Linked DNA regions of Macaca fascicularis. The main gene of each other region encodes a partner of the protein of the gene in region 2 in a complex. Links are inferred from orthologs where the notes say so. Each region holds a gene or a part of one and is shown on either strand. Other genes may lie near its edges.

Region 1 (4,763 bases), on a different chromosome or scaffold from region 2:
TGATTTAAGACCAGGCTCTGGGAAGGCAGAGTCATCCCAGGAGTGAGGCTGTCTGGCTGGCGACAAAGCCTTTGGCCCCTGGTCCCTGGAGAGCCCTGAGACACATCTCTGTCAAGGGATGTCTGGAGGCCAGGCGCCATGGCTTATGCCTGTAATCCCAGCATTTTGGGAGGCCAAGATGGGCAGGTTACTTGGGGTCAGAAGTTGGAGATCAGCCTGGCCAACATGGTGAAACCTGTCTCTACAAAAATACAAAAATTAGCCGGGTGCGGTGACGCATGCCTGTGATCCCAGCAACTTGGGAGGCTGAGGCTCAAGAATGGCTTGAATGTGGGAGGTGGAGGTTGCAGTGAGCCAAGATCGCGCCACTGTACCCCAGCCTGGGTTGACAGAGTGAGACTCTGTCTTAAAAAAAGAAAAAAAAAAAATGGAGGGGGATGTCTAGAAGGCTAGGAAATTTGAGAGTAAGGCATGAATTCAGCTCTGTTACTTGCCCCTTCCAGAAAAAGGAGCTGTATGGGGAGAATATGGTCCCATGGATCATTTCCTACAAATGCGGATATGCAAACCCTTGTGTGCCTTGTGAGAGGGCACTGCAGGCCTCATGCTTTTTCCAACATTCCCGACATTTTCACACCTGGGTCGGTGTCTACGTGGGGTCTGTGTGTTGAGAACACCTGCTCCTCTTCAAATGAGCCCGGAGGTTGTGCCAGGCACAGTCGTAGCAGCCCGACGCTTGGATGTGACTGTGGAAGGCGAGATCACCACCTCCAGGGCTCCCGGGCTGGCTCCTACCCTGTGGGCTCCTAGCACCCTATCCCCACCCTTCCTGCCGGAAGCATTGCTGAGTGCTGGGCACCTGCCACCCTGGGTCACTCCCAGCGAGTCTGGGACCAGTAGACTCTGGTGAGGCCGTGGGGATTGGCCTTCCTTGGGGAGCTGCCTGGGGCTGCCCTCCCTCCTGACGGCCACCAGCCCCTTCTCAGCATGTTCAAAACAGGAATTCTGAACTCATAGTCTCCAGCCACACATATGTTAAGCAAAACTCCTCTGTGCCCAGCATGAAATCAAAAGCAAGTTCTTCCTTTTTCTTTCCATGGGGCAGTGAAGGCAGTCATCCTCTTGTAGCCTCGGGTTCCTTTGCCAAATTGCTAGTTGCCTATGACCTCAGGGCTCGGCCTTGAGCAGTTCCCAATTCCCGGCCTTTTCACTGGGCTGGAATCTGTCTCCAGGAAACCCAGGCCCTTTTATTGTTGCTATGTCCCCCAGAGGGCAGGGCCAAGCCAGGCCATTCTCTCATGCTCAGGAAGGTAGAAGATGGCCCAAAGGGAAGCACACCTGCAGCAGGAGGGGGGCCCCGGTGGGCGGGGCACAGCTTCCCTGCAGGTAAGACCCCCTCGCAGGCCAGCCGCCTGCCCCTGCAGGAGCTGTGGGTCTCGGGAGAGGCTGCCGTCCCTGCACACCGCAGGTAGGCACATTGCCGGGTTCTGGACATGCCCCCAGAGCAGCCTCTGCCCACCCCTTCCTGGGTCCCTGACTCCGTCCCCCTCTGTGTGCCCCTCCCCAGATCACGCGCTGCCCCATGATCCCGTGCTACATCTCCTCCCCGGACGAGTGCCTCTGGATGGACTGGGTCACAGAGAAGAACATCAACGGGCACCAGGCCAAGTTCTTCGCCTGCATCAAGAGAAGCGACGGCTCCTGTGCGTGGTACCGCGGCGCGGCGCCCCCCAAGCAGGAGTTTCTTGACATCGAGGACCCATAAGCAGGCCTACAACACCCCTGTGGCCAACTGCAAAAACAGCCTCCAAGGGTTTCGACTGGTCCAGCTCTGACATCCCTTCCTGGAAACAGCATGAATAAAACACTCATCCCGTGGGTCCAAATTAGTACAGTTCTGCTCCCCGCTTCTCCTTTTAGACACGGTTGTGGGTCTGGAGGGAGACATGGGTCCAGGGTCCTCATCCCATCCTCCCTCTGCCAGGCACTGTGTGTCTGGGGCTTCGATCCTTGGGTGCAGGCAGGGCTGGGACATGTAGCTTGCCTCCCAGTCCCTGCCTTGGCACCGTCACAGATGCCGAGCAGGCAGCACTTAGGGATCTCCCAGCCGGGTTAGGGCGGGGCCTGGAAATGTGCATTTTGCAGAAACTTTTGAGGGTCGTTGCAAGACTGTGTAGCAGGCCTACCAGGTCCCTTTCATCTTGAGAGGGGCATGGCCCTTGTTTTCTGCAGCTTCCACGCCTCTGGCCCTAGTGTAACACTCCCTGCCCCTGGCAAGTGCCCCCATCACCCCGGTGCCCACCATGACCTCCCAGCACCTGTGGCTCCCCCCACATCCAGGGACAGCCTGGAACCAGCGGCTTATTCTTGAAGGAGCCCCATCAATCCTGTTAATCCTCAGAATTCCAGTGGGAGCCTCCCTCTGAGCCTTGTAGAAATGGGAGCGAGGAACCCCAGCCTCAGCTGAGTCTTTTTGGTCTCCTGCACCCCCCGTCCACATGCTTCCCCAGCCTGCAGGGGGAATTGGTGAGGTCCTGTCCTGAGGCTGCTGTCCGGGGCCGGTGGCTGCCCTCAAGGTCCCTTCCTGAGCTGCTGTGGTTGCCATTGCTTCTTGCCCATTCTGGCACCAGGCACCTGGATTGAGTGGCACGGCTTTGCTTTATCTGGGCTTGTGTGCAGGGCCTGGCTGTGCTCCCCATCTGCACATCCTGAGGACAGAAAAAGCTGGGTCTTGCTGTGCCCTCCTGGGCTTAGTGTTCTCTCCCTCAAAGACTGACAGCCATCATTCTGCACGGGGCTTTCTGCACATGACGCCAGCTAAGTGTAGTAAGAAGTCCAGCCTAGGAAGGGAAGGATTTTGGAGGTAGGTGGCTTTGGTGACACTCTCACTTCTTTCTGAGCCTCCAGGATACTTGGGCCTGTTTTAAGAGACATCTCCTTTTTCTAACGATGAATTCTCAGATGATTCTCAGATGATAGGTGAACCTGAGTTGCAGATATACCAACTTCTGCTTGTATTTCTCAAATGACAAAGATGACCTAGCTAAGAAACTTCTTAGGGAACTAGGGAACCTATGTGTTCCCTAAACATGGTTTCCTGAAGCCCGTGATATGGGGATCAGAATAGGAAGAACTTTCTCGGTAACGATAAGGAGAATCTCTTTTGCTCCCACCTGTGTTGTGAAGATAAACTGACGATATATAGGCACATTATGTAAACATACACACGCAATGAAACTGAAGCTTTTCGGCCTGGGAGTGGTCCTGCAAAATGCTTCCAAAGCCACCTTAGCCTGTTCTATTCAGTGGCAACCCCAAAGCACCTGTTAAGACTCCTGACCCCCAAGTGGCATGCAGGCCCCATGCCCATCGGGACCTGGTCAGCACAGATCTTGATGACTTCCCTTTCTAGGGCAGACTGGGAGGGTATCCAGGAATCGGCCCCTGCCCCACGGGCGTTTTCATGCTGTACAGTGATCTAAAGTTGGTAAGATGTCATAATGGACCAGTCCATGTGATTTCAGTATATACAACTCCACCAGACCCCTCCAACCCATGTAACACCCCACCCCCGTTCGCTTCCTGTACGGTGATATCATATGTAACATTTACTCCTGTTTCTGCCGATTGTTTTTTTAATGTTTTGGTTTGTTTTTGACATCAACTGTAATCATTCCTGTGCTGTGTTTTTTATTACCCTTGGTAGGTGTTAGACTTGCACTTTTTTAAAAAGAGGTTTCTGCATCGTGGAAGCATTTGACCCGGAGCGGAACGCGTGGCCTATGCAGGTGGATTCCTTCAGGTCTTTCCTTGGGTTCTTTGAGCATCTTTGCTTTCATTCGTCTCCCGTCTTTGGTTCTCCGGTTCAAATTATTACAAAGTAAAGGATCTTTGAGTAGGTTCGGTCTGAAAGGTGTGGCCTTTATAGTCGATCCACACACGTTGGTCTTTTAACCATGCTGAGTAGAAAACAAAACAGGTTAAGAAGAGCCTGGTGGCAGCTGAGAGAGGAAGCCGCTCAAATACCTTCACAGTAAATAATGGCAATATATATATAGTTTAAGAAGGCTCTCCATTTGGCATCGTTTAATTTATATGTTATGTTCTAAGCACAGCTCTTTTCTCCTATTTTCATCCTGCAAGCAACTCAAAATATTTAAAATAAAGTTTACATTGTAGTTATTTTCAAATCTTTGCTTGATAAGTATTAAGAAATATTGGACTTGCTGCCGTAATTTAAAGCTCTGTTGATTTTGTTTTCGTTTGGAGTTTTGGGGGAGGGGAGCACTGTGTTTCTGCTGGAATATGAAGTCTGAGACCTTCCGGTGCTGGGAACACACAAGAGTTGTTGGAAGTTGACAAGCAGACTGCGCATGTCTCTGATGCTTTGTATCATTCTTGAGCAATCGCTCGGTCCGTGGACAATAAACAGTATTATCAAAGAGAACGTGGGCTCTCTCTGTGTGGCTGTATCCTACATTCAGAATGGCCACTTTCTAGCTCAAGAATGGGAATCAGCCCCTGCAAGGAACCTTTCCTGTCCAGCGGGAGGGGGCGCCCTGTGTCCTCCAGAGAAACAAGGCCAGTGAGCTCTGAGTCAAATGTGGGATGCAGACTAGGTGCAGTGGCTCACGCCTGTCATCCCAGCACTTTGGGAGACTGAGGCGGGTGGATCGTTTGTGTCCAGGAGTTCGAGACTAGCCTGGCCAACTTAGCAAAACCCCGGCTCTACAAAAAATAGGTGTGGTGGCATCTGTCTGTGG
Region 2 (4,763 bases):
CAATTTCTTCTTTCTTAGAGATCTTTCTACTTCCTGTACACCCAGCCGATCTCTGCACAGCAAAAGAGAACTTCAAGACCCATCCTAACATCACTTCCTCTAAGGGATCTTTGCTGAGCCCTGGATATGAGTCAGATGCTCCCATGGCACCCTTCCTTCTCTCAGTACCAGCACTTGTCATACGTAGGCTGCCTATGGCTTCATCTCTGCTGCTCCTTCTAGAATATGAGCCCTTTTCAGTCCTGACCTCCACTAATGAGCATAGTGTCTGACACAGTGCAAGTGATATGTAAATGTGAGATACATTACTGGATAATAATATGTTAGAGTTATAATTCTTTACAATTTCTATTGCAATTTCACATTCATTTAATCTTCACAAAAGTGAGATTGCCAGAAATAAACATTTTTAAAATCTTCATAAAGCTTGACATTTAAAAATATTCCAATATCACCTATAAGTCTAGGGGAAAAATAAAGATGAGAAATTAAAGAATTAAAATTGAACAAAATGAAAATACTGCATATCAAAATTTGCTGAATAAAAAAGAAGAAATGGTTATTTATAGGTATAAATGCTTATATTAGAAAAGAAAAAAGTTACAAGTTAATAAGGTAAGTATCAAACTTAAGCTATAACAATAATAACAGGATCAATTAAAAGTAAACAAAACTTAAGGCAACAATAAGGATATGAACAGAAATTAGTTAAATGGGAAATCAAAATATAATATAGAGGATAAATAAAGCCAAAAGTCAGTCCTTTGAAAAGATCAATAACATTATTACATACATTATGAGATTAATAAAGAGAAAAAGAGAAAGGCAAAAGGGTTCAGTATTGGGAATGAAAAAGAGAACAAAACTTCAGCAATAATTCAAATTACAACAAAATAATTTTCCAAAAACTTTTTACTGATGGATTTGAAAACAGACAAAATTGGCAAACTTTTAGAAAAACATGTTAACAAAACTGACTCAAGAAGTAATAGAAACTCAAATAGCATATTACCAATAAAACAAATTGAAACCGTAGTTTAAAAATCTGATAAAGAAGCCGCCATACCTGAATAGCTCCATTAGTTAATTTATCTCTCCCTGAACTGATACTACATCTTACTGATTAAAGTTTTATAACACAGGGCTTTTCTCCTTATCTAATAAGATGGGTTCACCAGGAGCCTCCTGGCTATTCTCTTTGCTGCCGTATAAATTGTAAAACTAATTTGTCAAGTTCCATGAAAAATCTTTTGGCATTTGAAATGAAAATGTCTTGTATCTATAGATAAATTGACATTTTTACTATATTGCATTTTTTATCCATGAATATGGAATACCACCTATTCACTTAAGAGGTCTCTAAAATAAAGTTTATAATGTTCTTTGTACAAATTTTATTTAAGTGTTAGCACAAGGTCTTGCAGTAATCTAAACTTTAATATAATGGAGAAAACTCATGTCGATAAAATTTTCACACTAGGATTTATTCCAGCAAGTTGAAAATTCTTATATAGTACTCACCTTTAAAAATAAAAACAGTATCCCTGCTATTAACTTCATATGCAGCATCCAAATATGACGGGAGAGAGGGCCAAAATGTAGAAATCAAATGAAATTCAGGTTCAGAGTTCCAGTGGGATCTTCGCCAAAAATATCTGTAATACATAAAATTACTTGCAATTGTCTTTCTCCTTTAGCTATGTGAAAAAAAGTATTCTTTTAAAAAAAATCCATGCTAATTCACGCATTCATAGAAGTCTATATTAAACCATCCTCCTGCATGTGATTCCAGGGTAATAAAATTGATGGCAGGACTTGTGACTGGTTCCAATAAAATTATTTAGCTTGCTTCCACTCTGAAAGTCCATAAACAGTGTGTATATTATGTCCTAATATTTTAAAAAATATTATGTGCGTATTGATGCTTGTATATGAATAGAACATTTCTGTAAAGAGTTAAAGGAAATTGGTAGCAGTGGTTACACATGTGAAGGGAGCTGGGGGACTGTAGACCAAAGACTAGAGAGAGATTGTTTAACTCTGTATCTTTTGGCAGTGTCTAAATATTGTGCCATAAGCATATATCACTTTTTTCCAAAAGTAATTAATTTAAGTAGTAGCAATTTTTAGCAAAGGGAAAGATATCACCCTGTTTCTAAGGATTCACCAGTGCTTTCTGAAGAAGTTCCATGATTTATATTTTAAAAAATGAACAAAACAGATATAACTCCCTGCCTTAATCAAGCTTACAGTCTAGAATCATCCCTTGTAAGTGTAAAAAATGACCTGGACAATTCTAACAGGATGTTAAAAATTCAACAAGAACTAGATCTGAATGATTTTAAAATATAGAGAAAATTTTGTATTTAAAAAAATCTCTGTCAAGCAGAAAAAGTAACTACCGGGTACTAGGTTTAGCACTGGGATGACAAAATTATCTGTACAACAAACCCCCATGACACGAATTTACCTATATAACAAACCTGCACATGTAGCCCTGAACCTAAAATAAAAGTTTTTTAAAAAAAACCTCTATCAAATTTCTGTTTTCCTTTCTAAGCACTGTACATCAAAAGAATAGACAGAAAAATATAATTTTCTGGTCTGACCTGTCTTTAAAGAACAGATATTCTCCCCTCAGAGTGCTGATGGCATCGAAGGACAAAGCAGGGTCGCACTTGGCTGGCGTCCTAGATCCTGAAGGGACGGATTTCGTGGGCACCAGGGGTTCCTCAGTAGAGGCAGGGGGAGGTCCTAAAGGAGACAGATTTGGGGATGCAAACATTTAAAAAATGTGATGCATCTGTCAATTTGTATGCCTTTCAAACATTCTCAAAGTGCTTCAAGCTAAATCAGAAATACTTTAGGTAGCATTGGAAAGCTTTCTTGAGGACTGTCGTTGCAGAGCTACAATGCCTAATTTTTCCAGCATCACTCACCATAGAGAGACTGAATGCCATTCACATCATCTTGTGAAAGGTGGAACCGGGTCAGCTCTGTGAATGAGTTGTAGAGTGGGTACATCAAAGCTTCAGTGTTGGCTGAGTGAAAGAGCCCCAGGGAGTGGCCAAGTTCATGAGCAGCAACGAAGAATAAATTGGTGCCTGTATGACAACCATAAATGTTCAGAATCCACCAGCTATTTATTCCGTAAATACACATACAGAACATATGCCAGCTGTGCAGGCCATCCTTGAAACCACATGGTCTTTTCAGTATTTGTGGATTGGTTCATTGATTGGCATATTCCATACTTTATAGAAATTAATGTGTTTTTCAAGGTTGACTTTAAGTCAATATATAAGACAGTTTTTCACCGTATCGCTCCCTAGATCCCTCCTTGGTCAGGAAAACTAAGACACTTTTCCTATATTGACAAATGAGAAGCATTATTTCCAAAGATTTTTTTTTTGAAAGGACAAGACTAATATCCATGTCAATAAATATAACTCTTCGTTGTCTAAAAGTAAAAAGTCATTGTTCAAATTTAGGAACATGTGCCAGTTGCAACCTCGGTTAAAATTAATCATATAACATTTATGTTGCTCCCCAAACTTTTAGGCCACAAGACTGTAGTTATTTCTTGTGGAGTTTAGTCTGATTTGCTCTTCCTCCTCTTCATCATACTCAAGTAACTGTTTTTTTTTGAGACAGAATCTCACTCTGTTGCCCAGCCTGGAGTACGGGTTCAAGCGATTCTCATGCCTCAGCCTCCTGAGTAGCTGAGATTACAGGCACGTACCACTATGCCCAGCTAATTTTTATATTTTAGAGATAGGGTTTCACCATGTTGGCTAGGCTAGTCTCGAACTCCTGGCCTCAAGTGATTCACTCACCTTGGCCTCCCAAAATGCTGGGATTACAGGCATTAGCCACCGGTGCTCAGCCATAATAAAATAATTTTTGATTGTCAAAAATCTTCCCAGTAATAAGTGCCATTGGATGTGTACAATCTTTAGTTTAAAACAGAAACATGCCCAATAACAGTTTTCTGCAGCACAAGCACAGCTAGATTCAGCTTTTAAAAAAATATTATAAAAAGAGTTTTATCGAATTTAGTAGTAGATATTTGACCAAGGCTCCAAGAATTGTGCAGAAAAGAACAATTGTTCAAATAAAAGGCAATCATTTCATGCAACACAGATTTCAGTCTTGTGAGACAGAGTTGCCCAGGTTGGAGGACAGTGGTGCAATCTCGGTTCACTGCAGCCTCCATCTCCTGGGTTCAAGCGATTCTCGTGCCTCAGCCTCCTGAGTCTTGTACTCAGGAAAGATGTTCTTTGCATTTACATTAAAAATCCCAGGCACTCTCAGAAATAGTGATTGTTTCAACAGTGTGTTTCTAAACTTTAGAAGCCATTTTAAAAATTAAATAGCATACAGTTAATTTTTGTCATTATGTTTAGATGTAAAGTGTTTCAAAGCCCATTTAGGGGGGAAAAAACCCCATCTAAGCTAGAGATAGTGACATGTTTATTTAAAAAGATGATCTAACAGTGTTTTTTTCAGTTCCTGGCATTTTCTCCTGATCTCTACTTTTAAGTAAAAAGGAGGCCAATGAGAAGAAAGAAAGAAAACTTAAGGGCAAATTTTAGGATTGAAACTGATTTAATGGAATTCATTCTACCCTAATCATTTGCCATTAAAGTGATGAAAAACATTAATTATGCTGATCCTCAAACCCCTACAAGATCCTGAGTTGTGGAGATAAGTCTGAATGGCTTTTACAATATTGTACTTGGTGGGGGCAAACATGAAAATAC

Evidence for each region.
Region 1: the proteins of MMP10 (region 2) and TIMP2 are in contact, whole or in part, in a crystal structure (PDB 4ILW), measured with the Homo sapiens proteins. The link is inferred for Macaca fascicularis from reciprocal best matches to the Homo sapiens genes MMP10 and TIMP2. Residues at the interface, in NP_002416.1 of Homo sapiens: Glu155, Asp169, Phe170, Tyr171, Ser172, Pro176, Gly177, His178, Ser179, Leu180, Ala181, His182, Ala183, Tyr184, Pro185, Pro188, Gly189, Leu190, Tyr191, Val214, His217, Glu218, His221, His227, Pro237, Leu238, Tyr239, Phe242; in NP_003246.1 of Homo sapiens: Cys27, Ser28, Cys29, Ser30, Pro31, Val32, Gln36, Ala37, Asn40, Ser57, Gly58, Asn59, Asp60, Tyr62, Asn64, Pro65, Ile66, Lys67, Arg68, Thr91, Ala92, Pro93, Ser94, Ser95, Ala96, Val97, Cys98, His123, Leu126, Cys127.

The regions. Positions count from the first base shown.
Region 1 is NC_088390.1:85,257,422-85,262,184, reverse strand, and holds the end of TIMP2 (metalloproteinase inhibitor 2), read left to right. Parts: intron 1-1,567; coding exon 1,568-1,765; 3' UTR 1,766-4,442; downstream 4,443-4,763. UniProt on the Homo sapiens protein: Complexes with metalloproteinases (such as collagenases) and irreversibly inactivates them by binding to their catalytic zinc cofactor. Known to act on MMP-1, MMP-2, MMP-3, MMP-7, MMP-8, MMP-9, MMP-10, MMP-13, MMP-14, MMP-15, MMP-16 and MMP-19.
Region 2 is NC_088388.1:101,790,875-101,795,637, forward strand, and holds part of MMP10 (stromelysin-2), read right to left. Parts: intron 3,105-4,763; coding exon 2,940-3,104; intron 2,755-2,939; coding exon 2,610-2,754; intron 1,656-2,609; coding exon 1,522-1,655; intron 1-1,521. UniProt on the Homo sapiens protein: Can degrade fibronectin, gelatins of type I, III, IV, and V; weakly collagens III, IV, and V. Activates procollagenase.